4 linked regions of the Medicago truncatula genome follow. The protein of the gene in region 1 binds, or shares a complex with, the protein of each later gene. Links are inferred from orthologs where the notes say so. Each region holds a gene or a part of one and is shown on either strand. Other genes may lie near its edges. The genes, in order: carbon catabolite repressor protein 4 homolog 4, carbon catabolite repressor protein 4 homolog 3, carbon catabolite repressor protein 4 homolog 5 and carbon catabolite repressor protein 4 homolog 6.

What was found.
Region 2: carbon catabolite repressor protein 4 homolog 4 (region 1) and carbon catabolite repressor protein 4 homolog 3 share a complex: the UniProt entries of both Arabidopsis thaliana proteins name them as parts of the CCR4-NOT complex. The link is inferred for Medicago truncatula from reciprocal best matches to the Arabidopsis thaliana genes AT1G31500 and AT3G18500.
Region 3: carbon catabolite repressor protein 4 homolog 4 (region 1) and carbon catabolite repressor protein 4 homolog 5 share a complex: the UniProt entries of both Arabidopsis thaliana proteins name them as parts of the CCR4-NOT complex. The link is inferred for Medicago truncatula from reciprocal best matches to the Arabidopsis thaliana genes AT1G31500 and AT1G73875.
Region 4: carbon catabolite repressor protein 4 homolog 4 (region 1) and carbon catabolite repressor protein 4 homolog 6 share a complex: the UniProt entries of both Arabidopsis thaliana proteins name them as parts of the CCR4-NOT complex. The link is inferred for Medicago truncatula from reciprocal best matches to the Arabidopsis thaliana genes AT1G31500 and AT5G11350.

The regions. Positions count from the first base shown.
Region 1 is NC_053046.1:10,822,628-10,829,688, forward strand, and holds the start of carbon catabolite repressor protein 4 homolog 4, read left to right. Parts: upstream 1-4,039; 5' UTR 4,040-4,189; coding exon 4,190-4,236; intron 4,237-4,312; coding exon 4,313-4,410; intron 4,411-4,562; coding exon 4,563-4,603; intron 4,604-5,012; coding exon 5,013-5,062; intron 5,063-5,169; coding exon 5,170-5,239; intron 5,240-5,337; coding exon 5,338-5,462; intron 5,463-6,522; coding exon 6,523-6,665; intron 6,666-6,938; coding exon 6,939-7,061. UniProt on the Arabidopsis thaliana protein: Acts as a catalytic component of the CCR4-NOT core complex, which in the nucleus seems to be a general transcription factor, and in the cytoplasm the major mRNA deadenylase involved in mRNA turnover.
Region 2 is NC_053049.1:47,848,952-47,856,639, reverse strand, and holds the start of carbon catabolite repressor protein 4 homolog 3, read left to right. Parts: upstream 1-4,680; 5' UTR 4,681-4,766; coding exon 4,767-5,090; intron 5,091-5,178; coding exon 5,179-5,244; intron 5,245-6,244; coding exon 6,245-6,297; intron 6,298-6,392; coding exon 6,393-6,474; intron 6,475-7,083; coding exon 7,084-7,170; intron 7,171-7,610; coding exon 7,611-7,688. UniProt on the Arabidopsis thaliana protein: Acts as a catalytic component of the CCR4-NOT core complex, which in the nucleus seems to be a general transcription factor, and in the cytoplasm the major mRNA deadenylase involved in mRNA turnover.
Region 3 is NC_053047.1:39,091,945-39,099,194, forward strand, and holds the start of carbon catabolite repressor protein 4 homolog 5, read left to right. Parts: upstream 1-4,243; 5' UTR 4,244-4,358; coding exon 4,359-4,530; intron 4,531-5,863; coding exon 5,864-6,027; intron 6,028-6,401; coding exon 6,402-6,467; intron 6,468-6,559; coding exon 6,560-6,612; intron 6,613-6,837; coding exon 6,838-6,919; intron 6,920-7,163; coding exon 7,164-7,210; intron 7,211-7,250. UniProt on the Arabidopsis thaliana protein: Acts as a catalytic component of the CCR4-NOT core complex, which in the nucleus seems to be a general transcription factor, and in the cytoplasm the major mRNA deadenylase involved in mRNA turnover.
Region 4 is NC_053042.1:2,231,447-2,238,707, reverse strand, and holds the start of carbon catabolite repressor protein 4 homolog 6, read right to left. Parts: upstream 3,014-7,261; 5' UTR 2,949-3,013; coding exon 2,865-2,948; intron 2,782-2,864; coding exon 2,349-2,781; intron 1,441-2,348; coding exon 1,274-1,440; intron 869-1,273; coding exon 803-868; intron 1-802. Other genes in the region: protein STABILIZED1, read left to right, coding at 5,411-7,261. UniProt on the Arabidopsis thaliana protein: Acts as a catalytic component of the CCR4-NOT core complex, which in the nucleus seems to be a general transcription factor, and in the cytoplasm the major mRNA deadenylase involved in mRNA turnover.

The sequences.
Region 1 (7,061 bases):
TGTGTGTATGTGAGTGAATACTCAGTCTTCACGTTTATCTCAGCTTTCTCTAAGCATAAATGACATTGTAAAACTAAAAAGAGCAGTAGACAAACATGCTACATACTAGGAGTACATTAGTTAGGTTTTCAACCATGTATGAACAAGACTTGGCTTATGGAATATGAATCTCATGATTGCAATGGAAAGTTGTGGTGGCTGGAGAATTTTGTATCTTTTTAATATTTTTTCTTTTGAGAAATGTTTTGGAAGTTGTTTATTTATGGTGTATCTATACAACTGGCATACGCAATTGACGGTGTGCGGTGCTTTTTAAAATGTCACATTTTTATGTCACTATTATATATTGTGCCAACTGCCAAACTCAAAATTACTTTTTAAACTTAAATCCCATATGTTAACACGTCCCTAATAGTCCAATAAATATTTCAAGGTCAAGAGTTTAATAGTTCACTACCCTTCAAAAAAAATTAATAGTGCACTATTAGTGGATGATTCTAAATTATTGACTTGAAATTAAGCCAATAATTCTTCTTTTTATGACAAATGTGAACAATTGGTGAGGTCAACAAACCAGACAGATATTGAATGTTTTGCAAATCATGTTACATTATACTATGTTAGTAACAAGTTATTCCTATGAACAGATATATTAATATGTCGTTCAAAATATACATTTTTCCTTGCTTCAACATAATGGGGAAGGGGGCATTACAACATTTTTCTATCAAGAGCAACCAATATATCACGATCATGTTATAATAAAATAAAATCAATGTCAAACACAAAAAAAATATTATAGCATGTTATATATGTTCTCATAAAAAAAATACTACCTCTATTTTGTTCCCATTGAAAATTGGGCAGCAAGTTCTCGATCCTTTGTTTTTTATTTTTTTTGGTTTAATTTTGTTCTATTAAGTTACAAATGTTACACACCTTAGTCTCTTTGTACTTTTTTCTTGTTCAATTTGGTTGTTAAGTTACAAATGTTATAGACTTTGGTCCACTAAGTCATTAACTTTAAACACTTTTGATCAATTAAGTTACAAATACTAAGAGATTGATAGAGAAAATTAACTTATTTATCACTTGTAACTTAAGGGATTGAAATATCTTATATGCTTGAAACTTAATTGATCAACATATGAACGTAATACAATTTAAGGGATCAAAATTGAATGTAAGAAAAAAAATTAAAGGGTCAAAGCATCTAATGTTTGTAATTTAAAGAACTAAGCGAAACTCAAATATAATTTAACCCAAGATTAATCTAGTAATAAGCATGAAGCAACAATATAATTCTACTATTACCACATAAAATATCAATTGTTAGTTGAGGAGAAGAGATTAACAAAGTTCCTTTTTCTACGTTAAAATATCATTTGTTAGTTTTTGACGAATATAGCTTAACGAGATTTATCATTTCCGCTCTATCAAATATGCTACTCTACGTATCAAATGTCAATGCAACTTTCTATCATATAAAAATATATTTAAGAGACCATATTACAATAATTTTAATGATGATTATTTGCCTACACCTAACAGAAAAATGATAAACTAAACATAAGGCAGCTGAAAAAATTAAATGCATTGCACATAGCATGTGATATGGAAGTGAAATTAACAAAGAACAACTGGAATTTCATAATGTGAAAAGGACGTTAGTGTTACTATTTGGATAAAATCTTAGGCCTCTCACTTACAGAAATAAAGTTAGCTAGAAACCAAATTCGGAGTACCATATTGACCAATAAGAACCTAGCTAGCTAGCTATCTGTGTTTGAGGAGTTAAAATGTCACAACTTCATTTGTTAGGATCAGTTTGGTTTAACTAACTGAAGAAGAAATTAAGTCAACAACTACACCTGTCATGTTGTTGTACACTTAATTGTTTGCTTTTGCATCTAATCATCTTAACATATGTTAACATCAAAAGAGCTAGCTAATTAGGGAAATTAATTGGTGTGGTGCCCATATCACACTTCTAACTAATTTTTCTCATGTATTAGATGATAAATACGTGTAGAGTGATCATCACACGACAGCGTACTTCCGTATGGTACGGTACATTCAAGCTGACGTGTTTATCCAAGCTTAGAATTTTAGAGTGGTATAAGTTTAGGTCACATGTCATTGTGTGGTTGATCTTCTGACAGGTCCAAAACACCTACCAAATAATTATGAGACAGTTTTATTTTAACTTTATTGATTTATAAAATCATAAGGACCAATAATTTATTCTTTAAATTTATGAAATAATAAAGTAATTTTTATATGATCGATACCAAAAAACCACTAGTCATTGTTAATTAACACAATCTTATCTGAATGGATAATATTGATGTGCTAGTAAGTGGGTATGGAATATGGATATATACATGGTGGTTAAAACTTGATTACGTTTAGAAGCCGTCTAGAAACATGAAATGATTCTGGAATTGACCCTTTTAATTTAATGCAAAAAAATAATGGCAGATATACGTCAACCAATCAACATATCGTATAGAAATAAGACTCTTGAATTGCATGAACTTTGATGTTTGAAAATGATCATACCACAATGATTAGTTGTTGTAGCTAGTTTCCACTCATAAAATAAAATTGCTATTTTTAAGTCTCTTAATTTGAATTGATACGCAAGTCGAAGTGGAACCAATAAATTTAAGAATTGAAGTGCTTTATTGGTTTTAAGTCGTTGGTTGAAAATGGCCTAGTAGCATACTACGGCCTCATTGGTCCCGCAAGAGCTATTGGTTAAGAGAATGTGGTGTAATTGCATCAGCCTCTCACATCAATCTAAATTGAGGGAATTCATGATTTAAATGTTAAAAATGCTAAGGAGTGTCTATGTGCGTAGAGATACTAGAGACTAATGTCTCTGAAACACTAGTTAGTATGACCTTTAAATGTTAAAAATGTTAGGAGTTTTATCATTGACATCATATGTAATTTTGTTTTTGGTTTGATATTTTCCTGGTACTAATAAAAAAAACTTAAATATAAAAAGGTTATAATAACAAGTGACCTAAGAATATTGTTTAAGAAATTTATTATGAGAAATTTTATCTTGAAAACATAAATCAAACATGTATATAAGTAATAATTACACAAGATTCTACTATTTCTTGATTCCCAACAAATTTAAGTCATATAAACTAGATTTGTTGCCACATTTCCTGTAAAAACCTACAAGTAAGTGGTTTGGTGGTGGAGTCATCCGAAGGTAGTGCCCCCGATCAATGAAGATTCACCTAGGTCGGAAAATGTGGTTGTGATTGAGGAGGAGCATGCCAGGGATGCCCTGGACACATTGAATTGATTAAAGATTGTTAGGACCATTGTTGTGGATGGTATGAAAAACGGTACTTTATATGACGACCTATATGTCTGTCTTCAGCGTGTTGCAAATGAAACAATGTCGACCACTCTGTATCAAGTCCAAGAAGGAAAGGAGGACTTTCCGATGATTTTTGTTGCATTTTGTTTTTAGTTTTGTTTCATATAAATGATGAATGTTGGTATGTTATTACATAAACAATTATTTTTCGGTTTAGAATGAATGAATGACTTAGATACTTGGTCAATTTAGAATGTTAATCTTATGGTATGAATGCTTGAACGAATGACTGTTTGTGTCTAATTTTATGAATGAGTGTATGAATGATGGAATGAACGAAGGAAAAAATTAACGTATGAAGGAATACATGAATGTTAATTTTATGGGACGAATGAGTATTTGTGCAAGTAGTGCCCAAAATTTACACATAAACTTGAGTTTATGCGTCTTTTCTCTCTTTTGTTTTTGGTTAAGTAGCCTAGTGGCTAGAGCTCACACAATTTAACTGTGAATAAGTTGAGTGTTTGGAGTTCGAACATCGGTCCCTACATATAAAAGGCAATATCCATACCAACTAAGCTATGCTCTCGGAGATTTTCTCTTGAACTCATTGCTAAAAGCCTAAAAGTGAAATAATTTAATTGTATTTTTTGTCAGTTTGAGGTGTATGTGAGAATCACTAGGTGTCTAGAGAGCAATTCCGAAGCAAAATTAATTGATGTTTAAGTTGGGTATAATTTGGCCTGGTCCAATTGAAGTCTGAGCCTGAGGATGAATCCTTCTAGATCTGACACAATGTCAACGAAATGAGCAAATGGTAGAAAAACGGCGCTGTCAGTTTCGGCTATGCTAAAAGCTCTTGCTTCGCTTCCTCATTCACTCTCTGCAACTAGGTATTTATTCATTAAAATGCAATCAACTAGTATATAATATTCAAGGTGTTTTGTTTATTCAACTCAATTACTTTAGTGTTGCGAGGAAAATGAGCACATCACCAACACCAATGTCATATCCCAAATTCATTTCAGTTGAAGGCGTCGATATACATTCCCGAACTAAACCTGATGGTAAGTAACACATTCCTCTCATACTTTTTTCGTGTTTATAATGAAGCATGGATACTTTTTGATGCGATAAAGAATTTTCTATGTCATTCAGATTTCTAAGAATTTTATCATTGCCGAATTTCTTCATTTTTTTTTTTTTATATTTAATTCAGGCTTGAGATTCAGCCTTGTCTCCTATAACATTTTGGCTCAGGTATGCTAATTTCTCAAATCTTGTTTTATGCTACGATTATCATTTACCAACTAAAATACTCCCTCCGGTACATCAACAAAACTTAATGTATTTTGTGTTTATTATGATTCAGATATATCAACTTTTGTTAACTCGTTTGTCTCTTATAAAAAAAAACAGTGGAGGGAGTAACCTACGAAGACATTTTTAGGAAGTGAGACTCACACGCATGCACACTAGTAATAGTTAATTATATATGTTAGTGTCGTGTTGGTGTCTGACATTGATACAAGTCAGAAACTTAATACACCTTCAATATGAAGTGTCAGTGCTATATTGGACAAAAGGTTTCAAATCTAGTATGTATATAGATACCGTTACCATGTATTTGCTATAACATTATTTTCTAATACTTTCCTATGTATTGTAGGTTTATGTGAAGAGCTCTTTTTTCCCATACTCACCTCCTTCGTCTCTCAAGTAACATACTTTTCATCTTAATTTTGAATTTGAATACTGATAGCGTAACAATTTTTTGCATATGTAGATTGAATTTTAACTGTAATAATTGATTTTGCTTTCTGTAGATGGAAATATCGTTCAAACTCGATTTTAGATGTTCTCAAGAACTTGGGAGCTGATTTTTTCTGCCTACAGGTTTTTTCTTTTATTTAATTTCAAACTTTTGCCTTGAGTTTTGATTATTTGAGTACTTTCTTTTGAATAATGTTCTTTGTTATGGTGATTTTTTTCAGGAAGTTGACGAGTTTGATAGCTTTTACAAAGGAAAGATGCAGGAGCTGGGATATTCTTCTATTTATATGAAGAGAAGTGGAGAGAAAAAGCGTGATGGGTGTGGCATATTTTACAAGCATGACCGGTATGTACAACATTTTTGCAAAACTCAACTAGCTAGCTTTTAGTTTTACATTGACATGTTTATGATGTACTAGTAGAGATTATGCCTATAGTTATTGGAGCTATAATTGGTGCTAGATAGGAGCCTACGATCAATGTTTTGAAAATGACGTGGACATCAGTGTTATGATATCTCCATTTGTGGTTCTATCGGTTATATTTTACTGGAATTTTTTCACTATATCAAGGATCACAATGCATCCGCGATTGTGATCTAAAACTATTGAGCAGTCCTTGTCTTACAAGTCGATTTTGATGAAGTTAAGTTATCCCTCAGATCCAAAATCTAAAATGGTATCTTAGTCTATCCTAGATTTATTATTCGGTCAAGTTCTCTGTTATTCCATCCGCATTTGTCCACACTTTAGATGTTCTGTCGTGGTCTTGAAGGGATGTGTTCAAATCTGTGTCATTCCACCCTCATTGATCCACGCTATGGATGTCCAATCTGAAGGGTAATATGTTAAGAGTGCCACACTGACTAAAGATACGATCTAATTAGTTCTTTTCTCGCTTGGACAATGATCACCTTACAAGTCGGTTTTGACTTTTGTGGGGTTGAAGCACACCTTAGCTTGGATATTGTACCGGAATATATGCTTTTTGAATTAGATTAACTACGATTACTTTGCTAATCCAAGGGCCCAATTATTGATTTTAAAAATTGAAATCCCTTTCTCTTGTGTCAGCATATTAGTAGAGTGTAAGTTTTAAGCTTGGAAGGATTTGAATATTACTCTTGTGATCATAGAAGCACTTATATGATATTGTTCCTTTGAAAAATTTGTTTAATAGATACACTGATTCATGAATAACAAAAACCCGGAAGTAATTATGGGGTAATTGAATTAAGCAATAATGATACTCTTGCTTGTTATCAGTTATTTGGTATTCCGGCAACTATGGTTCTCTTTATCCGTCCTCTCTCTTTGCCTTCTCATCTTTTTGAGGTTATTTGTGGTCTTTTTTTCGTTTGATACCTATAATCTTTATAAAATTTATCCATACCTTGTGCTGTTTAGTGCAGAGTTGCTCTTGGAGGAAAAAATTGAATACAATGATCTTGTAAAGACAATTCAAGATGAGAACTCTTCAAATGGTGATGAACAAAACAATGTCCAGACAACCCAGCCAGATAAACAAAAGGATGATGCGACCAAAGCTGGTAAATGCAAATTGAAATAAAATTATTCTGTGTCCGTCTGTCTCTCTGTATATGTGTATGTGTGTGTGTGTGTGTGTGTGTGTGTGTAATTCTATTCTTAATAAAAAGTATTTTCATATCTTGACTCTTGAGATTGTACTCTTGAGATTATACTTTCTGTTGCTTCATTGATGTTCCTGCATTGATTGTTTTAGAACAGAAAATGAGAATTTTCTGTTACTTGTACAGACTTCTGAGCATTTTGCTTCTTCATTAATTGGTTTTCTGATGCAGGACCTACATCGGGTACAGTAGATCGTGGAGATCCTAATGATCCTCATGTGAGACTAAAGCGTGATTGTGTTGGAATTCTGGCTGCATTTAAATTCAATGGTCCTTCTCAACAATTTCTTATTG
Region 2 (7,688 bases), on another chromosome or scaffold:
AATTATATTAATTTAGAAATAAAATAAATTTTAAAAATTTGAAAATAAAAAAATTCAGGATTTTTTTTATTTCGAAAAATATTTTCCAAATTTTTTATTTTTGTTTAAATTAGAAAATAATTTTTTTCTAAAATTTTAATTTCAAAAATGATTTAATAAAAATCTGGAATAAAATTTTCGGAAAAAAAAAATCTGAATTTCATCTAAATTTTTTAAAAAATTTGTATCCAGATTTTTAAAAATAAAACATTTTCCAGAATTTTTTTTTGTAGAAAAAATTTAAAACTGTTTTTTTTTTTTAAATTTCGAATTTGTTTTTTCTAATTTAACATTTTTTTTTATTTTGAAAATTAAACTCCAGAATCTTTAAAAAAAAATTGAAAAATCTGGAATAAAATTTTTGAAAAAAAATCTGAATTTCTTCTAAATGTTTTAGAAAATCGTATCCAGATTTTTAAAAATAAAACATTTTCCATAAAAAAAATTTGTGTAGAAAAAATTTTAAAACTGTTTTTTTTTTCGGGAAAAAATATGACTTTTTTTTTAAATTTCAAATTTGTTTTTTCTAATTTTTTTTTTTTATTTTGAAAATTAAACTTCAGAATCTTTAAAAAAAAAAACTGAATTTCTTCTAAATTTTTTTAAAAATTGTATCCAAATTTTTAAAAATAAAACATTTTCCATAATTTTTTTTTGTAGAAAAAATTTAGAAACTGTTTTTTTTTTCTGGAAAAAAATATGACTTTTTTTTAAAAGCTTGAATTTGTTTTTTCTAATTTTTTAATATTTGAATTTAAAAAAAAAAACCGATATTTCAAAAAAATCTTATCGTTAATTCTGATTTTTTTAATATTTGAAAAAAAAACTTTTTTTTACAATTTTTAAATTTTATGGAAAAAAATCTGAATATTTCTGTTTTTTTTTTTGTTTGAAAATTAATTTTCAAATATTTTAAAAAATAAAATCTGATGTAGACAATTAATAATAAATAAAAATTAAAAAAAAAAAGCCAAGTCAGCGCCACATATGCGCATTTGATGAGTTGGATGGAGGAGGGGTGTTTTCCGGAAAGAAAAAAAAAAGTTTTACAAGGATGCAAATCAAACCGAAAATTTTATAGGAGCGAAAACTGGAAATAGCCTATATTACAGGGGTGAAAAACACTATTAACCCTTTATTATATACCGTTGAGAAAACATCTACTAACATAAATAAAGGTGTATTGATAATGTTTAAAAAAAAGAGGTATATTGATAAAGAAATAATTAATATACTTTGAAATTTGAAAGAGATTTTATAAAAATAGACAAAAGAAAAAATTTGAATAGGTCTCGTAATTAAAGACGGATGTAGTATTAATTAAGTGGGTCGGAAGTGGTCACACAATCGTTGTTCTATTAGTTAAAGTTGGTTTCTTTTACGGGATAAGTTTAAAGTTGCAGTTTCTTTTACCGGATGAGTGTTGTACACACTTGAAGGAACTAAGTCATAGGGAAAACTTGCAAGAGGTGGATAGGTTGAATTATCGGTGTGTTGTTTTCCATTTGAATATAACTAGACCTTGCATCCGTGCTGCCGCACGGGTCATATTGATGGAAAACAAAACATTCAATTATGTTTTAAATAATAATCTAATTAATCCAAATACAATGTTAAAAATAATAATACACATGAAAAAAGGGAACAATTGAAAAAGATACTAAAATGCAATTTATCAACTACTGCAACTTCAAAATTGTACGGAGACTATTAATAGGATTTTTATTTATTTTTTTGACAATTGATGTTTAAACATTCTGAAACATCTGTTATATGCTACATTAATAGTCGTATTGATGTAATCACCGTACAATTTTTAACATTTTAGGCATATAGACTTTCTCCCCAATGTTGCTTCTTGATTGCACCTTTTCTTCAAGAACATAACTACCAAACTTTGTAATTATCAACCGAGTACCATTACATAGGCTAGCAGTGAAGTCCAAATATCACATTAACATTATAGGAACTCACACCTTCAATTTTCTCAAGTTTGTGCAAAATATCACCTTTCATCTTGAGGAATGAAATAGAGGCCAATGTTGTGATTATTTGTTCCACATCTGCTAAAACTCTCTGGCAACACAGTTGATCTTTCTAGCAAGTCTGCATAAAGCACTATCTCAAAGTTGTTGGATTTTAATAGAAGCACTATCTTTCTGGCAACACATGTAACTTGAAATGTGACGAAAGCTCTTTCTCAAAGTTGTTGGATTTTAATAAAGTTACATACTACATGTGTATGTAATCAACACCCAAAGTATAAGTTAAGAATACATAATGTATAAAGCAATTTTACAGCAAATAAAACATTAATATGAAGTAGTATTTTAGGTAAAAACTCATATGCCAATTCTTTTTCCTCTGCTAGCGATGGAGCATACAAATAATAAACTGAAATGCAAATACTCAATAGCCAACCTCTCTATGACAGTTTCTGCTAAAAAATATCAGTTATTGGATCAATCCTACAAAGCTACTTCTAGTTGAATTCATATCAGCACCAATAAAACAAAATACATGGTATTGATCTGCATCCAATAAACTCTGTTTAGATCCATATTAATTCTTTCAAAGGGAAAATCCAGAACATTGTACATCTAAAAAAAGTTACCCAGATAAAGAAAATAAATTCAAGGTCCATATTTTATCTCTTCTCAATCTCTTGCATAGTAGTGCTGAAAGTTGAATTCAGAACCTACTGAATAAAAGAAAAGAATTCATTGAAGAATGTAGCGGAAATTGAGACAATTCCAAAGCCTAAATCTAGAACTCACATTTGTAACCCAAGAAGAATGAGTTGTAAAAGTAAAATCCAATGAGGCATTCAATCAAACATGTAAAAGAAGAAGTAACTAAAGTTGAAAACTTAACAAAGAAGGTGATGAATTAACTATAAATGTATGGAAAAAGGAAACAACTCACCATAGATATGATTTGAAGATGAGTGAAATTTATTAATCTTCAGTCGCCAAATCCATACCACATCTTGAACAGAGGAAACAAAGAACATTAAGAAAGGGAAGATGAAAAAAATTCTATGAATAAGAGAAGAAAAGGTAGAGGTGTGATGGTGGCAGGGAGAAGGAGGTGAGGAAAGGTAGATGAAGAAGGGGAAAAGGTCATAAAAGGATCGGATGTGTAAAACATCGTGTAATCCCAGAGGTTTTTTTTTTTCCTTGGGACAATAAGAATGAAACTAAAGAGAATTGTGCCAAAATGAGAGAGAAGACAAAGTTTGATCTTTTTTCTGAAAATTGAACAAAAATAGGAGTGTGGCAGACAAACAACAAAATTTGTATTCCCTGGCAGTGAAATTTGAATTTCAAATTCGGCAATTAATGAGCATTTTTCCGCCCAGTGCATTAGGGTTTAGAAAATGGGGTATGCATAATGTACCTTAGGATTAGATATTAAGATAATATATTCTCTGTTCAAGTTATCCAATTTATTGAAACGTAAAATTGTCAAGGATGATCCAGAAGTGGTAAATTGATTGTAAAGTTTGAAGTAGTTGATGAGTGGATAAAATTTCTACCTTGCATTATTTTTGTTCTGCAAATATGAGTAAGACGTGAGGGTGTATTATCCGTGACCATAAACGTCGATAGACCCTCTTTCTCTAAAACGTTTAGTTTGTATAATTCGAAGTTGAAAAATACGTTTTAGATTATACAATTCAAAATACATTTATACATAAATTACCTTCAGACTCTTTTCAAAAAGTAATGGAAACACAATAAATGAGATTTGAATTGTGTTTTTTAGTTTTAAATTATTTTTAGTGATAACCATTATTGCTTAGAAAAAAGGTTAAGTAAGTATTAGAGGTTCTTTGTCAAAACATTTAACTTCATTTATATATGTACACAATAATGAAGTTAAACCATATGGAATTTGCTCTAAAACAAAATACTTCATTTGTCTTATTTTAATTGTTTCTTTAACTTTTTTCTCTGGCTCAAAATATTAATCACTTATGTAACATTTACTATTTTATTCAACTATTATACCTTTATTTATTGAATTTCATCCAACTTAATTATTCAACTAACTATAATTAATAATGTTATTTTAATAAATGACACCTAATTTTATAATTAAAATCAATATAATTAATAATTTATTTAAAAACCATGCATAATCTTTAAACGACTATTAAAATGAGATAGATGAAGTGTAAATGAGAGAGAGCATGTTTTATATTGATTCACCATCAACTTGATTGACTAGTTTAGTGCATATCATCCATAGTGATTTTGTCTTCTTACCTTGTGTAACTTATAAACACACTTTTTAATAATTTGAATTTATTAAATCTGCACGAGGCTGACTTAAAAAGAAATAAAGAAATAAAAAAGAAATATAGATATAGATTAGGTTTCACGTTAGGATTTTTTTTTCTAGGAATATTAAAAATAGTTTTTTGACAAGAATAGGAATATTACAAGTTCCCTAAAAAAGAGGAATATTACAAATTAAGATTTGCAAGGATATATAAAACGAGAGTAGTGATATATAACTTTTTTTTTTTTATTGGTCAAAAACAAATAGAAAGAAAAAAGAAAAAAATAAAATAAAAATATAATATAAGTATGAGAGAGAAGGTTGTGTTGTACTAATTTAGTTTAAAATAAAAGCAAGTAGAGTATTAAGGGAAAATGAAAGGAGAGAAAAGCATCGGGATTAGATAACGAATTGTGGCGCGTTTCATTGTTGATTTGGAAATGGCCTCTTCAACTTGGCTCATCTCCTCTTTCTTCAAATTCAGTTTCCCTACAAGAGCTTCACAAATTCACTGCCAGTGTAATACAAATTCCAATTCTTCTTCTCGCGGAATCCAACGCCGTTGGGTTGAAGCATTCGATCAATCCCTCGCATCACCGGAGAGATTCACAGTAGCTTCATATAACATACTTGCTGATAGAAATGCTTCTCAACACACTGATTTATACGTTAATGTTCCTTCTCGTTACATCAATTGGAATCGCCGTCAAAAGATTCTTTCTGAAGAACTTTTTGAATGGAACCCTGATATTATCTGCTTACAAGTAAGTAAGAACCAACGTTTCACCATGCAAATAAGTACTTAATTAAGCTGTTTAACTCAAAAATGTATTATTCTCACTCATTGATCAGGAGGTGGACATGTACGTTGAACTCTCCAATATTTTGGTTAAGGCAGGATATGCAGGTTCTTATAAGGTGCTAGTAACTTTCATTTCCTTTAAACATTTTTCTGAATTTAATACTATGCCTCTGTTTCCATAAACAACTTATAGCATAAGCATTCATCATCATAAGCGCTTATCTATAAGCTATTTCTATCGCAAAAGATAAAATAAAGCTTTTTGGATAAGTTATAAGCTGTTTGCATAAGCTATCTTGGAGAACTTATGAAAGTAAGCTAAAAACAGCTTATGAGCGATGTCCTCATAGTCTGTTTTCATAAGTTCTCCCAAATAGTCTCACAAAACTTATGTCAATAGATAAGCTCAAATAAGCCAATCCAAATAGGCCCTAAGTGCTATTTATTGCTTCCGGATGCTGATATAATTTGCTTGTTCCAGTTTCATAATATGCTACCTAAACTTGAGTTTCAATATCAATTTTGTAGGTTTTTAAATTTAAAAATTGGGTTTGTCTAACATGTGCAATGTTGCACATGTTAAAGCAACTAAAAGTGAACACTTTTTATGGAAAAACAACAAGTATCTATTAAAATGATACATATTTAATACTAAATGCACAAGTTCCCATTCAAACTTACTTTTTTGAAATTCTTAACATGTGTAAATTTGCACATGATAGAAAAACCCTTAAAAATTTGAAGGAAAAAAAAGTGTTACTAAGCATAAAATGGTAAAGAAAAATATTTTTTGACAAATCCACAATTGATAGTTAGTTCTCTTTATATTATGGTATAGAAACATTAAATAAGACTTCAACTTAGGGTTTGAGTTTCTATTTTTTACTTTGGTTTCTTAGTGCCTGGTATATTCTCGATCAATTTTCGGTTCATTAATAAATTAATGATAAAACTTAGTTGATTTTATCTGCATTGACAATAAGACATGCTGATTTATCTCTGTCAAAATGTGAAAAAATATTTAGCACTATAGTATTGGTAGTAGTACACCTTGATATGTAGGTTTATAAGTTCTAACTAATGGGAGCCTAATGAATTATGTCAATGGAGCTGCAGAGACGCACTGGAGATACATCTGACGGTTGTGCAATGTTTTGGAAAGCTGATAAGTAATCTACTAGTAGCTCACTTTGCTTGTTATGTTAGATAAAAATTGATACCAGTTTATTCACTTTGGTCAGTCTTTTTCTTATTTGTCTGTTAGGTTCCGATTGTTAGATGGAGAAAGCATTCAATACAAGAACATTGGCCTTCGTGATAATGTTGCTCAACTTCTAGTTTTTGAGGTATGAGTTCCTTGATGCAAATGACGCGAATGCTTATTCGTTTTGGCGTTTCAAAACTTCGCTTCTGCTCTTGTATTTTACAATTTTTTTTTTCTATTTAAAAAAATTACTTGAGCACTGCATTAGGCACAGTTAAACAAAATCAGCGTCAGAAAACTCTTTAATCAGAACACTAAACCATTAGAAGAAAATATTAGAGATTGTTTGCTCCCATGGAACCATAAAACAAGCATATGCAAGGTTTCCCTCCCAGTAGGTGTTTGCTACCTATGGGGTTTGAACCATTGCCGATTTATGACTGCATTGCATTCATGACTTTCCGAATGTAGAAAATGTGCATGTAAAGGAGAATACCTTACATAGTTGTGACATTGATTATTAACGTTGTTGTGGGCATATTTATCAAACATGAGTGCTGTGGCACTTGAATGCTGCCTGAATTCCTTGCTCCTTTCGTCAACTCTTGCTTTATGTCGCGTGATCTCTTATAATAGCTTGAATATAAGCAGTAGCAATCCTTTATTGTCTTAGCTTTATTAATGTAAACATTGTCCTACCGTGCATCCATTGGTCATTCTTTGCATCTTTAACTTCATCCTGTACAGGCAGATGTCTGGATCTGACTCAAGAAGACTGTTGGTTGGTAATATCCACGTACTCTATAACCCAAACAGGGGAGAAGTTAAATTAGGTCAAGTAAGTGTTTTATTCCCTCTTTGACCTATAAACAAAGGTTTTTACTCCCTCCTTTGCATAAAGGTCTAGCTGATCAGTTGGGATAACTACTAATGCCTAATCCTAAAATGTTTTTGTTATCTTGGAAATACTATTCAGTATTTACATTGGCTTAAGCTTGAAAACCCTATTTATATCTAGAGTAGTGTTATTTGAACATCAATTTGCTTGACAACTAAATGGACAACCACATTTTTACCAAGAAAAGTATGTATTGGTACAAATATCAAAGTAATAGAGAGAGAAAGTAAAAATATAATGTGAGTATGAGAGAGAAAGTTGTCACAAAAGTTTTAGAAAATGGTTGTACAAATATCATTTCTCTTATATCTAAGTATTTACATTAGCTTAATGCCTACCCCTAATCCTTACATTATCTTGTGAAATATTAAATGTTGCAGATTCGTTTTCTCTCATCAAAAGCACAGTCCCTCTCAGAGAAATGGGGTAATGCCCCTGTAATCCTAGCTGGTGATTTT
Region 3 (7,250 bases), on another chromosome or scaffold:
TCACCTTGAAACTCTACCTTCCACCTGCGTCGGACGCCCTGGCCAGTCTCCATCCAAATCCACTTTATTACGACGATGGTGGCGCGATGGAGCAAGTTGACAGTTACATCGGTACTGCGATTGGACCGAAGTTGGATGATGGAAGTGGGAACGATTTGGAGTTCATTCCTTACAAAACTGAACTCAAAATTGCTAGATATAAATGTTGGTGTAGTAATCTATCTATTTTGGACAATTCTATGTTCAATTTTGATATTTTTAACTTTAATAATGTCATATTTTAAATCTTGATTTGATAACCATGCTTTTGTAAATCTAGATTAAATAAGTTTATATTTTCTTTTGTGAAAAAAGTCCAAAAAAAAAAAACCAAAATTTCAAGCACAATAGCATCCAAACCATCTTATCTCTTTTGTGATCTTCTCTTGGCAAAACTACCTACTATACAATGTATTTAGACCTAGTTCTTGGCAAAACTACCTATTATATGTGTCTGGTGTCGAACACGAAACATGCAGACTTTCTACCACTTATTGATTTTGCACCGAGTAATATGAGCCGTCCAATCTCAAATTAACTGTCAATATTGTTTAATGCATGTAAAGATGTCTTTTTCCTACAGCAGGGAATCCGGCAAAGCAAACACATGATGCAGTGTTGTTGGAAGACTCTTGGTTTATCATACAAAGCTTGAAAATCTGCACATATAAACATGATAACAAAAGTAAAAAGTAAACCTCCTAATCACAAGAATGAGAGAGAAACAAACCTGTTCAAAGAGCATAAAACAGCAACTGAATTCATTCACCCATGATGAAAGAAAAACATTAAAGTGAAACATAGAACTCCCTTCAATCCAATGGTAGGACTAAGCAGAAAGGTGGAGTTGCTCTCATATCATGCACTTGGTCAAACTTCATGTCGTGTAGCCGACAAACATTTAAGTTTATCCGGATGCATGAGATGACAGCTCTTGCCTCTACTTAGCCCTTCGTATTGGAAAGAAAGGAGCTCTTTGCTTCCTAATTACTATTTATTCACCCCTCATTCCACCACAAATGGACAAGGTACCCCCCCTTCCCCCACCAAATGGCCCCTCCCTCTTGTTGCTCCTTAAATATAACTCCTTAAAGAATGTTGTACAATGCTGTTTAGATTTTCAGCAATGGCTCAATGTCTAAACTTTCTACTTTATCCGAGAGAAACTTTGTCCTCTTTCATGATGTAGCTGTGGCAATTGTGTGTGTGAGAGTGTAGGTGTATATATAAAGAATTTGGATTGTGTAATGTAGTCAGTCATGCATATGTGGACCATCTGATCAAAATTGAATGATTTAGATTTCAACGTTGATTTTGATTTTTTTTTTAATTTTTACCGTATGTTTGGTATCACAGTAGGTTTGTCGAAATCACAATGAGTCACCGTTATACCAAACATGCATTTAAATACGTAGATAAGATAATTTTTTTTTTTTTTTTTTGTGGTGGCCGGGGTTTGAACCTCAAACCTTACATAAATTATTATGCATTGTTCTTACCAACGGAGCTAAACTCACAAGGATAAAACGTACGTAGACAATCTGATCAAGATTAAAAGGTTTAGATTCCAATGTTGATTTTGATTTTTAAATTTTAGTACATGTTTGGTATTACGGTAGGTTTGTCGAAATCACAATGAGTCATCGTGAATTCGTGATACCAAACATTCATTTAAGATATCAAGTTTAAAATATGAATCTTCCGATCTTGATTGAACCACTAAAATGTGACTCACCGCACATGATTGTGGCTGCACAAATCAAGGTTTTCATGACATAAATTGAAACTTTATTGGCAAAACTTATATAGTATATAGTATATGCTACATATAGCAGGTTTTTTAAATCAAGATTTTACTTAAACAAATGAGGAGGAAATTGACAATATTTTCTTTCACTTATACTAAATCAGCAGCATATTATAATTTGAATCTTCAACTAATGTTCATATTTAAATGCAAATTATCCATAATTTGGTCTAACAAGTAATGGCAATAACTTAGTTTACACCACATAAACTGATATATCAAAATGCAATATATTAATTAAGTTACAAAGAGATATAGAGGTTTTATCAAGGCTTATTTTTTGTGAAAATAAAACAAATATATTATATATATCTTTCATGATATAAATTTATTTATAATCTTAACTTAGATAAGTCAGAAGATCATGGCTACAGTATCAAGAGATTCAGCAATACCTGCAGGATTCCCATGATCATATCATCACTGTTGCAACTTTCATTTCCTCTCTCAGCATGCAACACAAAATATCTAAAAATGACCATTGATCAGTTTGTCATATATATGTTATCCTAAATTTATAACTGAAAGGACAATAAAAGCTTTTTTCATGTTGGATCAAAACAAGAAAGCAGCAATGTCCAAAATGAGATTACTTGTTGTACAAGAAAACTTGTTCTATCCAATCTTTTTGTGACATGACATTGTAGTTGAGTTCCAATGAAGTTTGACCTTTGAATTTTAGTATTTGTCCAACTCCAATAAATTTGGATTCTGATTCCCTGTCAGATTAGATTGTCTTCTTGCTATTTTTTGGCATTTATTGATTCAATCCATAATTTGTAAACTTCATTTTGTTGAACTATACTTTTTTGGGTGATATTTTAACCTTATGCATGGAAATATCAAAGTAATGCCACTAATATGGATTTTTTTTTTAGGATCCACCCATGGTCCTTAGTAAATACCTGCAATAGCAGGTAGGTAATTACACTTCCACTCCGGTATACATTTTGTACGGTTTATCCGCATCCGTTTCAAGTCTATCAAGATGAACAACTTCCGCACAAAGAATGTAACAACCACAAAATGCTTGATATGTCACCACCGTCGATTCTGAAACCACCCATTCATGACGTTTTATCCGCATAACATCCTCGGTCCATGGAGCCATTAATTTTGTTCCAAACTTGACTTGGGGTTTTGTATGAAAGTGATTATAATGGAGGTGTTGATTGTGGTTGTTTATGCGGAGAATGTGAAAGCATTAACAGTTTCCCTTTTTCTCAAAAAACAAATTGAAGCTTGTCTTTTGTGCTTAATGACTTATTCAAATGCGAATACGTTTGTGAACCGGAAACCAGATTGAATTTAAGATTTTGTTAAATGGTGAAATTAAAGTTGCGGTAACTAGAGTGAGTTAGTGATTTGTTGTGAATTAGATGATTTACTGGTTTTGATTGCAAAAGGCCCGTGAAAATAAAGATTCATGTAAACTTAGAAGAAGTGTGTCAACCCACTATTGTTGGTCATTTAGCAAGGACCATGGGTGGTCCTTGAAAAAAGTGGTCCATATTAGGGGCTCTCCAACTTTACTAGAAAATAATCAAACTTAGAATTTGAAAGTTATCCATTTGTTTGATCACATATTAGGTTATGATTGTGGACTATTGACAAATTAACTACAATTGTTTCAATGTTGTATGAGACTTTGATATCATATTTCTATCTAAAAATAAAATCTTAGAACAATGGGTTTGTGAGTTGATATCTCTGTATTTTTTATTCCGTTCATTTCTAGTCGAGTTAAGACTAAGCACTTATACTTAAATTTTTATAGAATGCGACATCAATTAAGTAGCCATAGTTGCGCGGGTAACATTGGTTTAGTTGAGATAAGAAATTAAATCAGACAAACCATTATTTAGATTCTTGGATGTGTAACTCATTGTTATATTAGTCATTGACTCAAACGATGATCTAAATACATCCTTCACTTTTCAATTTATAAGTCACTTTAATCTTTGACGTTAACTAGGACATTAACTTGGTCAAAAATTCTGACGTAATGACTGAAAAAGGATCAAACGACATGATGACGTATATGTGTACCAAGATGAAAGAAAACCTTCATTCTTCTTCATCATTTCCCAACCCATGTCTCTTTCCTTTAGTATTCAATCCTCCAAAGCATGATATTAACCACACATATGTTAAATAATCACTAAATAAAAATTTCAATTATTTTCTTAACCAATATATAAACACATTCAATCCATAACTATTAAAATAAATTGTGATTTCATACATTATATTAAATTAATTTTTTCCCTCAAAAAAAAATTAAATTAAATTTTTCTCTCAAAAACAAATTAAATTAATTTTTTAATTTGAATATTAAATATTATATTTAAAAAGGTACCACACTTAATACATTTTATTCATCACTATTATTTATTTTATAAAAAACCAAATTGCAAAATAATTACCTCTTTAACGACACCGTATCCTAAATCAACCATCAAACCCTAATTTATCACACGCGCCACCGTAATCCTCTACTCCGGCGACCACCATGCCACGTCGCAAACGGGAGAATCTCCCACTGGAAAGTTCAACCGGCAATTATCCATCAAAGCGTAGAAAACATTCTCATTTCGAATCTTCAAGCTCTAATCGACTAGCATCTTCTTCCTCATCTTCTAGGAAATGGGTTTTCTCTTCTGAAGATTATTCTGATTGCGCCGGTCAGAATCACTAGAAAGTTCTATCCTTTTTGTAAAGTTTATCATTTTTTTAGTTTTATTTTTCACTCTGAAATTTTGCATTTAAATGTGATTCATTTTTTGTGCTGAAATGTTAATGTTGTTTAATTTTTAAGCATTAAGGGTTTGTTTGGTAAAAAATAGTAGATAGCTGATTAGTTAACTTTTAGCGGATTAGCTTATAGCAGATAATTGATAAGCTAGTAGTGGATAACTATATTGGATAAGCTAGTTGATTCAATTGGCAGTGTTTGGTAAAAAGTTGATATGGTTTGGTTTTTAAGCATGAGGGATCTGTTTGGATTGACTTATTTGAGAGTATACTGGCATAAGTTTTTGCCAGACTGATTAGGAGAACTATGCGCACTTGTGACATTGTTTGAGAGAACTTATCAAAACAACTTATGACAAGTTTATAATCTGTTTTCAGCTTATGTCCGTAAGCTCTCCAGGATAGCTTATGAAAACAGCTTAAAAATTATACAATCTATATGCATAAGCACTTGTGATATTGTTTGAGAGAACTTATGTTATGACATATTCATAAGTTGTTTTCGGCTTATACAAAAAACAGTTTGGATTTATTTATCTTGTTTTATCGAAATAGCTTATACATAAGCACTTATCACGATAAGCGCTTATGCTGTATGCTGCAAATTAAGTTGATTATCTAAACATGGCCTAAGTGTTGGATTTCTAAGGTTGAGACTTTAATGTAAGGAAACTAAAATTGAGAATTTCCGTATGAAACAATAATGAGATTGTGATTGGTAAAGTTTAATTGAGTGAGGATAGATAGTTATTTTTGAAAGAAATTTTATTTGGAATCCATCATATAGGGTTATGCATTTTCTTCTTTCTTGCTTACTAGAGTAGTGACTATGGTAACAAATCTTTGGTACTAAGTAGCATCATTGTAAGGTCTGAATTCCGGTTGTGTTGAGATTGTTAATTTTGAGTAAACTTGTGTTTAAATGCGTTTGATGCGGCTGCATTTTTGGTCGTGATGCAATCATGTACATATAAAAAATCTTGAAGTCATGGTCACAATCATGATTGTTGACTGTTTTTCAAAATTTTGAAGTCACTTATAATCGTATATTTACCAAAAATAAAAGTGGCATGAATGTAAAGAATGATGGAATTTGCTTGCTTATAGATAGTGGGTTGTTAACATAATGAACTGTTTGTGATGAAGTCATAGATAAAGAACATTCCATTTTCGAGCTAGTGATGGAATGTTTGTCATTTAGACTTCAGAGTAGATTGTGTTTATCTCATATTTACTGTTCTGATTCCTTTCCATGTCTTGCAGATACGATTGTAGTTGTTTCATACAATATACTTGGCGTTGAAAATGCATCAAATCATCTGGATTTGTATTCTAATATCCCTCGACGTTTCCTGGATTGGGGCAGACGTAAGAGGCTCATACTTGAAGAGATTGATAGCTACAATGCAAGCATACTCTGTTTCCAGGTAATTTAATAATCCTTACCTATGTTATACACTGCATAGCACAACTTAATATGTTGTAACAAACCTGTAACCATTTTACATTCATCATTTATGCATCTCTACCAAGTCTTGAAATGTTGAAAAAGAAGAGTTGGACATAGTTTTTTTTAATTTAGCTACAACTCTTGGTTACTTGCATTCATGTACCAAAGGGTATTGGAATCTGTGGTAATTTTTTTTACCGTTGCTTCATGTGTTTTGTTGAGATGCAAGTTATGCGTTCATGCTTATGTTAATGTTAATGTTAATGTTAATGCCAGTTGGCACATAATTGATTTCATGCATCCTAGAAATAAGTTGTCAGTAATTGATTTCTAGAAATCCAATGTCTGCAGGAGGTTGATCATTTTGATGATTTAGATGATCTTTTTCAGAACAATGGCTTTAAAAGTGTTTACAAGGTAAGTTATATACATATTTGAATGGTCATATAAGCTTTTGATCTCCAAACATTTAATCAATTTTTCCTTACCGGGGTTCTTATTACCAATAGGGTCGCACGGGAGAAGCCAATGATGGATGTGCTATATTTTGGAAAGACAAATTGTGGGTTTCCATTACCCCTTAATCCATTAGATAATTAGGATTTTGTATCTATAATTACTTTATTTGATATCTTACATTTGTAACCTTTGACAATAACTGCCTAAGCATTCCTAGTTACAAGGAAAGCCAATAGATCAAAGATTTAGAAATCATAGAACATGCGATTGATAAAATACAGTTCCAAATTTGGCCTAAATGCAGTATATTTTCAAAATTTGAATGCAGATTCAGTCTTTTGCACCAAGAAGATATAGAGTTTCAGAAATTTGGTATGCGTCACAATGTTGCCCAACTTTGTGTTTTGGAGGTATATGCGGTTTGTTTTTATTTTTTTTAATTTGTTTCCTAGCTATTGTGTTTTATTTGCTTGTTGTCTTTGATTAGATATATTTATTATCTTTTATTCAAAAAAATTAAATCTTTTTTAAATTCTATTATACCTAGTACTATTCTATATACTACTATGCATATGTATGTTCTTGTTGAATTAGACCAATAATCTTAGGTTTTGTATTTTTATCTGATCACTCTATTGCACCATTTATTTACAGGTAAACAATAATAATCCAGAATCTGACACATGTAAACTAACAGCCGAGTAAGTTTTATGTTGGTTAAAATGGGCAATGTTACCACAA
Region 4 (7,261 bases), on another chromosome or scaffold:
AGTCCACATCACACGACAAGTTACAACTTGTGGAATATAGAGAGAAGTGGAATGTGGAATATGGAGAGAAGTGGAAATACTGCCAATCTATCATTATATGATACACACACTTATACAAACATGCTTCTCAAGTAAAATAGCAAAAGTGGGGTATCTCTGTCTTTTGTATGAATGGTATGCCAACCCTTTACTTTGTATAGGAAAGTAAGAGGGTGTGTTGGGATTTTTTGGTAGTTAGAGTACTACTTGTACTTCATCTAAATTGGTGGATCTAGCATCACTTGTACTTATATTCTATCATATTGAATAAAAGTTGTTTGCTGTTCAAAAAAATAATAATAATAATAATACAAACATGCTTCTCAAGTAAAAGCAAAGTTCTCTGATTAAATAGCTAGCTAATATCAGCATTTCTACTCCCAAAAATGACAGAGAACTATAAAAGCCCAAATGAAAGGGACATTCATATATTTATGAATAAATATTATGTAATGTCTGATGGTCTAATCATCATAAAAACAAAAGCAGCCAAACATTTTCCACAAAGTGGGATGGCTACATGGATTAATCAACATTGTAAGGTTCAGGCAAGTATTAGTTCCAAAAATATATCAATGATAGTTTGATTATCGCATAGACATAAAAATGATGTCATCTTAACAAAGTTCAAAGTAGAACCAAAGCCCGAGAGAAAAAGAACAATACTAATAAAAAGTGGCACCAGCAGCACTGAACAAAAAAAAAATTACAGTAGGAATGCTTATGTCATGTAGCCTTCAAACATATAGATCATCTAACCAACCTTCCAGATGCCTCTGTATCCCTTAAACTTCAAATCCTCCTCCAACTCGTGAAACCTATCAACCTCCTGGAAAATAAGATCGAAAGGAAATTTTCTTTAAACTCTACAGTTAATCAGATTTTCCATGTGATGTGCAGTATCCATGCATGTAACACAATTGAGAAATAATGATGATATGATCAGCAAAGAAGGCATGAAAAAAATTCCAAATTTTGCTGAGATGTTAATGTAACTCAAAAACCCAGTTTGACAAATTAATGTAAAAGCATTTTTTGGAAAATGAGGTAGAATATGTGATGATATGTAAAATTTCAAGTCTGAAGCCAAAAATTATAAGTGAAGAATCTCTCTTGCAATATGTCATCGAACCAAATTTTACAATAGTGTTACAGTGTATGGTCACAAACATGTCAAATAGCATATTAGAGCAAGAAGTTAGCATTGTGGCATAATATGTAATAGATTGATAACCTGTAAACACATGATATCGGCAGACCACAGGCCAAGCTCCAAAACAATTTTACTCTTTCTCCACTGCCAGTTCAACATGTAAGAAGGTATATGATAATAAAGTTTTCTCCAGTGGTCCATAGCAAGGTAGTCCGCCAATATATTATAGGAAAGGACTTTAAACCTTTCTGTTGTACAAAGAAAGAAAAAATACAGAAGCTAAATTAGTATGGCGATGTATTGATGTAAAACTCCAAAACAACAAATCATGAGCAACAAAGATTGGGAAGAGGCAGGAGTGATAAACAATCAACCTCAAACCTATCGTCCTCTCACTCACCAAATCATCAGAGAGTTACAATATTTTCATTTATGTAGTAGATTTAGCTCTGAGACTCCTACTTTGGACATACTTCTAGCAAAAGATTGAAATATTGAACCAAGTTTTCTTCTTACCACCCTCATCTTTTCAATGTTTTTCACCTAAGTAGTGGATTAAGGTCCTACTTAGGACATAATTATAGTAACATATTGAACTTTTGAACCCAATGGTTCTTCTTACCACCCTCATTTTTCAATTAAACTTGTGTGCTCCGTCCATTAAGCAATAGCATCACAAATTTAGAAATGCCATTTACCAAACCATGTATCTCGAATTGTCATTTGATTTCTTGAATTAATGCCTAAATGCATGTGGTTTTTCCTTGATATTAGCAAGTTTACAACTCACATTAATTTTTCGTAATCTGACAGTTTTAGGCCCTGTTTGGATAAACAGCTTAATTTGCAGCTTATGCATAAGCTATTTCTATAACAATAGATAAAATAAAGTTAGTGTTTTTGTATTGGCTATAAGTTGTTTTTATAAGCTATCTCTAAAAACTTATAAAATAAGCTAAAAACAGTCTCAGAGTGCTTATGTCGGTGGATAAGCTCAAATAAATCAATTCAAACACGCCCTTACATGACGCAGTAAATATGAACAATGCAAAACAGCAACATTATGAATTCAGACTGCTAAAAATCAAAATCAACCCAATCCCTAAGTTTTAAACCAAAATCATAATAAAATCACATAGTACAAGAGTGAAGTTACCACAACGAGGAGGTGGTGGCGTCAATGCATTCTCCCACTCTCGATAATCTGCAGGCTTTGCATAAAAATTCTGTTGCGGACGAAATTCACGTCGGTTATCATACGGCGGCCGAAAACGCAGTGGCGGAGGATGAGGCCGAGGATTATAAGAAGGATTCTGATATTGAGGTGGTGGATGAGGACGAGGATTGTAAAGTGGATTATGATGGTAAAACGGCGGTGGAGGATGACGATGAAGATCGTAAGGTGGATATTGAGGTGGTGGATATGGACGAGGATTGTACTGTATTTGATTCGCAACATTTTCACTCTCACCTCGCCGGATTGCTGAATTGGCGTCGCGGACTGACCGTAAGTGATCGTCTCCGGTAGCTAACTGGTCTCTTCCGCCGGAGTATGAACGGCCGGAGTATCCTCTCCGGTGACCTCGGTGCTGCAAAATTTGAAGGAAAAAATGAATCCGTTGTTAGTATGAAGAAGGGGAGAGAGAGAGGGAGGGAGGGAGGGAGAAAGTACGTAGGGGCGTGAAGACATTGTGGCGGTGGAGAAGGCGGCGTCGGTTGCGGCGAGGAGATGGAGGGACGGAGGATTGCGTCGCATTGTTTGGGAGTGAAACTGAAACTATGAGAGTGGAAAAAAGCGCGTCAGAAAGTGAACTGGCGCGTTTATTCACGCTCGTTTAGACGCGTGAGGTTATGCACGAATCTAGATAAACTAAGAAAAAAATTATTTATTTTTTGAGAGAAAAAACTATATTTTTAGAATTGATTTAATGGAAATGTTAACCATTGCCCTTGTGGCATTGGTTAAAGTATTAAAATAAGTAAATTTACATCGAAAAGTGGTGTAATCATTGATAAGAAAAAAGTAAAGATTTATATTTTCAAGATAAAGTTTCTATTAATAGAATCCTTAACTATTGTTCTTAGGGCATTGATTAACAAGACCCTTGATTTAAGAATTGAATAATATTTGATTTTGCCAACAAAGGAGTGTTTGTCAAAAGATACTAAAAGGAGTGATAACATTGACAACAATTTTTTTGTTTGAAGATGTTAAATTAGTTCATCCAAATTAGCATTGGAGAAATTGAAGTTCTGAAGTATCAAGTCAATACCACCAACACTCTTTTTTTAATATTCTCTCCAACCCTCTCATTTGTATTGGATGAAATTAAATAGAGTTATATAAAGTAATGAAACTCCCGTAAGTTTCATGTAATAAAAGTGATTGTGTTAAAACTAAGGGAGGAAAAGACAATGTTGTTAACACTCCTCTACGGTATGTTAAGTTGGACACTTTAATTCGAATTTAAACTTAAGACTTTACAAAATTACGATTGTGTGTAAATTTTAGGCGTGCTTGTCACTTTGTATACCGACAAGAAAAAAAAAATACTTAAGCTTTGATTAAAAAAGTGACAAATTTGTTATTTAATCCAAAGTTTAGTCTATTCACTTAAGTAAGTAAATTTTGTTGGCCTAAAAGACTTTTCTTAGTCCATAAATCATAACTCAATCGACAAAAAAGCTAAAATTAACGCGGCATAATTTCTCACGAACCACAACTTTGTGTGAGTGGGCGTGGTAACGAAGAAACATCTCATCATTTGTTTCTATCTTGCGATTTATTTATAACTCTTTGATACCTCGTGCATATTTAGTTAGGTTCCTCTTCGGTTGATCCTCATCATATTTCAAATCATTTTGTTCAGTTCGTTTACTCATGAGGTGTTTATAAAAGCGTGATGTTTCTTTTCGCATCTAATTTAGCTCTCTTGCACTTGGGTTTCATGGATTGAAAAAAAAAAAAAAAAGGTTATTCAAGAACAAGTAAAAATCAATACCTTCGATTCTCAATAATGTAAAAATTGCTTTCAATTTGATAGTTGAAGGCAAAATATGCTAATTTTGCCTTAGGTTATCATCGTTAATGGCTATATCATTTTATTTGCCTCGGCATAGGTTGCTTTTTTCCTATTGGATTGTTACGGTTGTAAAATTTGATAAGTCTGTCTGATATAGGGATGTAAATGGATGTCCATGGATGCGGATAATGTGATATCCGTGTCCGCTCCATTAGACAAATATGAAATCTATGTCCTATCCATATCCGCGCGAACATCCATTTAGCAGATAATCCACAGATTTTGAGGTATCTGCGAGTTTATACAGATATCCATGAATACTATTTATAATAATAAAAAAAAAGATATTAATTTTTTTTAGCTGAAATTTAAAAAAGTTGACCACATGCATTTTCTTTTCTTTTTAGTAAAACATAATATCACTACATTACAATAACAACAAAAATCATTGACTCAACAAAAACATAAATAAAGTTCTTTGATTTGACAAAAGTATAAATAAAACTCTCATCATATTCAACAAAAACAAAACTTCTTGCTTCAACAATCCCGACCACTTTCACTACCTTCTAAAAGAGTGTAATACAAACTTGAAAAATCGTGTAATAACTAATAACAACTCACACTACCGAGGTTTTTTCTTAGAAATTTGAAAAGTATTAAGGTTATTTATGTAATTTATTCGGTTTAATAGCAGGTATGGATATCTGCGGGTGCGGATACCATTAAATCTGCATCTGTATCCATTAATTAACAGGTAGATAAAATATCCGTTTATTTTATCCATGGATATCCATTAAAGTATCCGCTCCATATCCGTGGCGGATATCCATGGGTGCGGATTTGTTTGCCATACACTTTGAGAATGTTAATATATTCCATTTTATCTCGTGAAAAAAAAAAAAACAAATTCACTCGACTTATTTTATGGCTTATGATTGATCTTTTTAGTGAGATAAATACTCTTTTATGGCTTAGATAAATACTTTTAAAAAGACTTATTGTGTGTTTGGAATCACGGCTGGAACACCTTTTGCACAAACATGCTATTAAACATTTTCAATTAAAAAAAAAAAATCTGACTTTGGGTTTGGGCTGACGTATGCTTCTGGCCTGTTCTCATCTAAGAACGAACCTATAAATATGTCGGTTTACTCGTTATAGAAACCTATTTTGAAACTGTTTGAGATTAGCGATGAATTTTCTAAATTCGAAACCGCCTCCCAACTACGTCGCCGGACTTGGTCGTGGCGCCACCGGCTTCACCACCCGCTCCGACATCGGTCCCGCACGCGCCACCACAATAGGCAATCCCGAATACTTTAGAGGAAAAGAACCCGCAAACGACGAAGACGATGAAGATCATACACAATACGACGAGTTTGAAGGTTACAACAACGCTGGATTATTCAATTCGGATGATTACGATTTTGATGATAAAGAAGCCGATGAAATTTGGGATTCAATTGATAAGAGAATGAGTAGGTCTAAGAGAAACGATCGCGTTCTAACAGAGGAAAATTCAAAACCTAAATTTACTGAACAATTTTCTGGTTTGAAACGGAATTTGTATACGCTATCTATGAAGGATTGGGAGAGTCTTGATGAATTTCAGAGTGGTATTCATTCATTAAGGAATAAGAAGAAAACTAGGTTTGAGAGTTTTGTTCCTGTTCCTGATACTCTTCTTGAGAAAGTAATGAAAGAGAAGCAACATGTGTCAGTAATTGGTGGAAATGATTTGAATGCTGTTGGTGAGGGTAGAGGAAATGTTTTGTCATTGAAATTGGATAGGTTATCGGATTCGGTTTCGGGGATGACTAATGTTGATCCAAAGGGGTATCTTAGTGTTCTTTGTAACAATGTTATTGCTAGTGATACTGAGGTTTCAGATTTTAATAAGGCGAGGTTGTTGTTAAAGAGTGTTACTCGAACGAATCCGAAGTATGCTTGTGGATGGATTGCGGCTGCCAGGTTGGAGGAGTTGGCGGGGAAGGTTAAGGAAGCAAGGTTATTGATTAAGAAAGGATGTGAAGAATGTCCGAAGAATGAGGATGTTTGGTTGGAGGCTTGTAGGCTGGTGAATCCAGATGAAACGAAGGGTGTGATAGCGAAAGGTGTTAAGTTTATTCCGAATTCTGTTAAGTTGTGGATGCGGGCTTCGGATTTGGAAGATGATGATGTGAATAAGAGTAGGGTTTTGAGGAAAGGGTTGGAGTGTGTTCCGAATTCGGTTAGGCTTTGGAAGGCGGTTGTGGAGCTTGCGAATGAGGAAGATGCTAGGCTTTTACTTCATAGAGCCGTGGAGTGTTGTCCTTTACATGCGGAATTGTGGCTTGCACTGGCCAGGTTGGAAACTTATGACAATGCTAAGATTGTTCTCAATAAGGCACTTTCTAGGTTGCCAAAGGAGGCGACTATATGGATAGCGATGGCCAAGTTGGAAGAAGCTAATGGGAATACAGACAAGGTTGGCAAGAGAATTCAGAAGGCTTTGGAGGAAGGAGGTGTGGTGATCAATAGAGAAACTTGGATGAAGGAAGCAGAGGTGGCAGAACGAGGTGGTTCGATTGAAACTTGCCGAGCAATAATAAAAAATACAATTGGAATTGGAGTTGAAGAAGAAGATAGGAAGAGAACATGGGTAGCAGATGCTGAGGAATGCGAGAAAAGAGATTCTATTGAGACTGCCAGAGCTATATATGATCATGCCTTGAATGTCTTCTTAACTAAGAAGAGCATTTGGATCAAAGCAGCACAACTTGAAAGAAGTCACGGTACAAGGGAATCTTTTGATGGTTTACTTCGTAGAGCGGTCACCTACATACCACAGGTTGAAGTTCTTTGGCTTATGCTTGCCAAGGAAAAATGGCTTGCCGGAGATGTGCCTGCAGCTCGAGCACTTCTCCAAGAAGCTTATGCTGCCATACCAAATTCAGAGGAATTATGGCTTGCGGCTTTTAAGCTCGAATTTGAAAATCACGAACCTGAAAGAGCTAGAATGTTGTTGGCTAAAGCAAGAGATCAGATAGGAGGTACAGAGAGA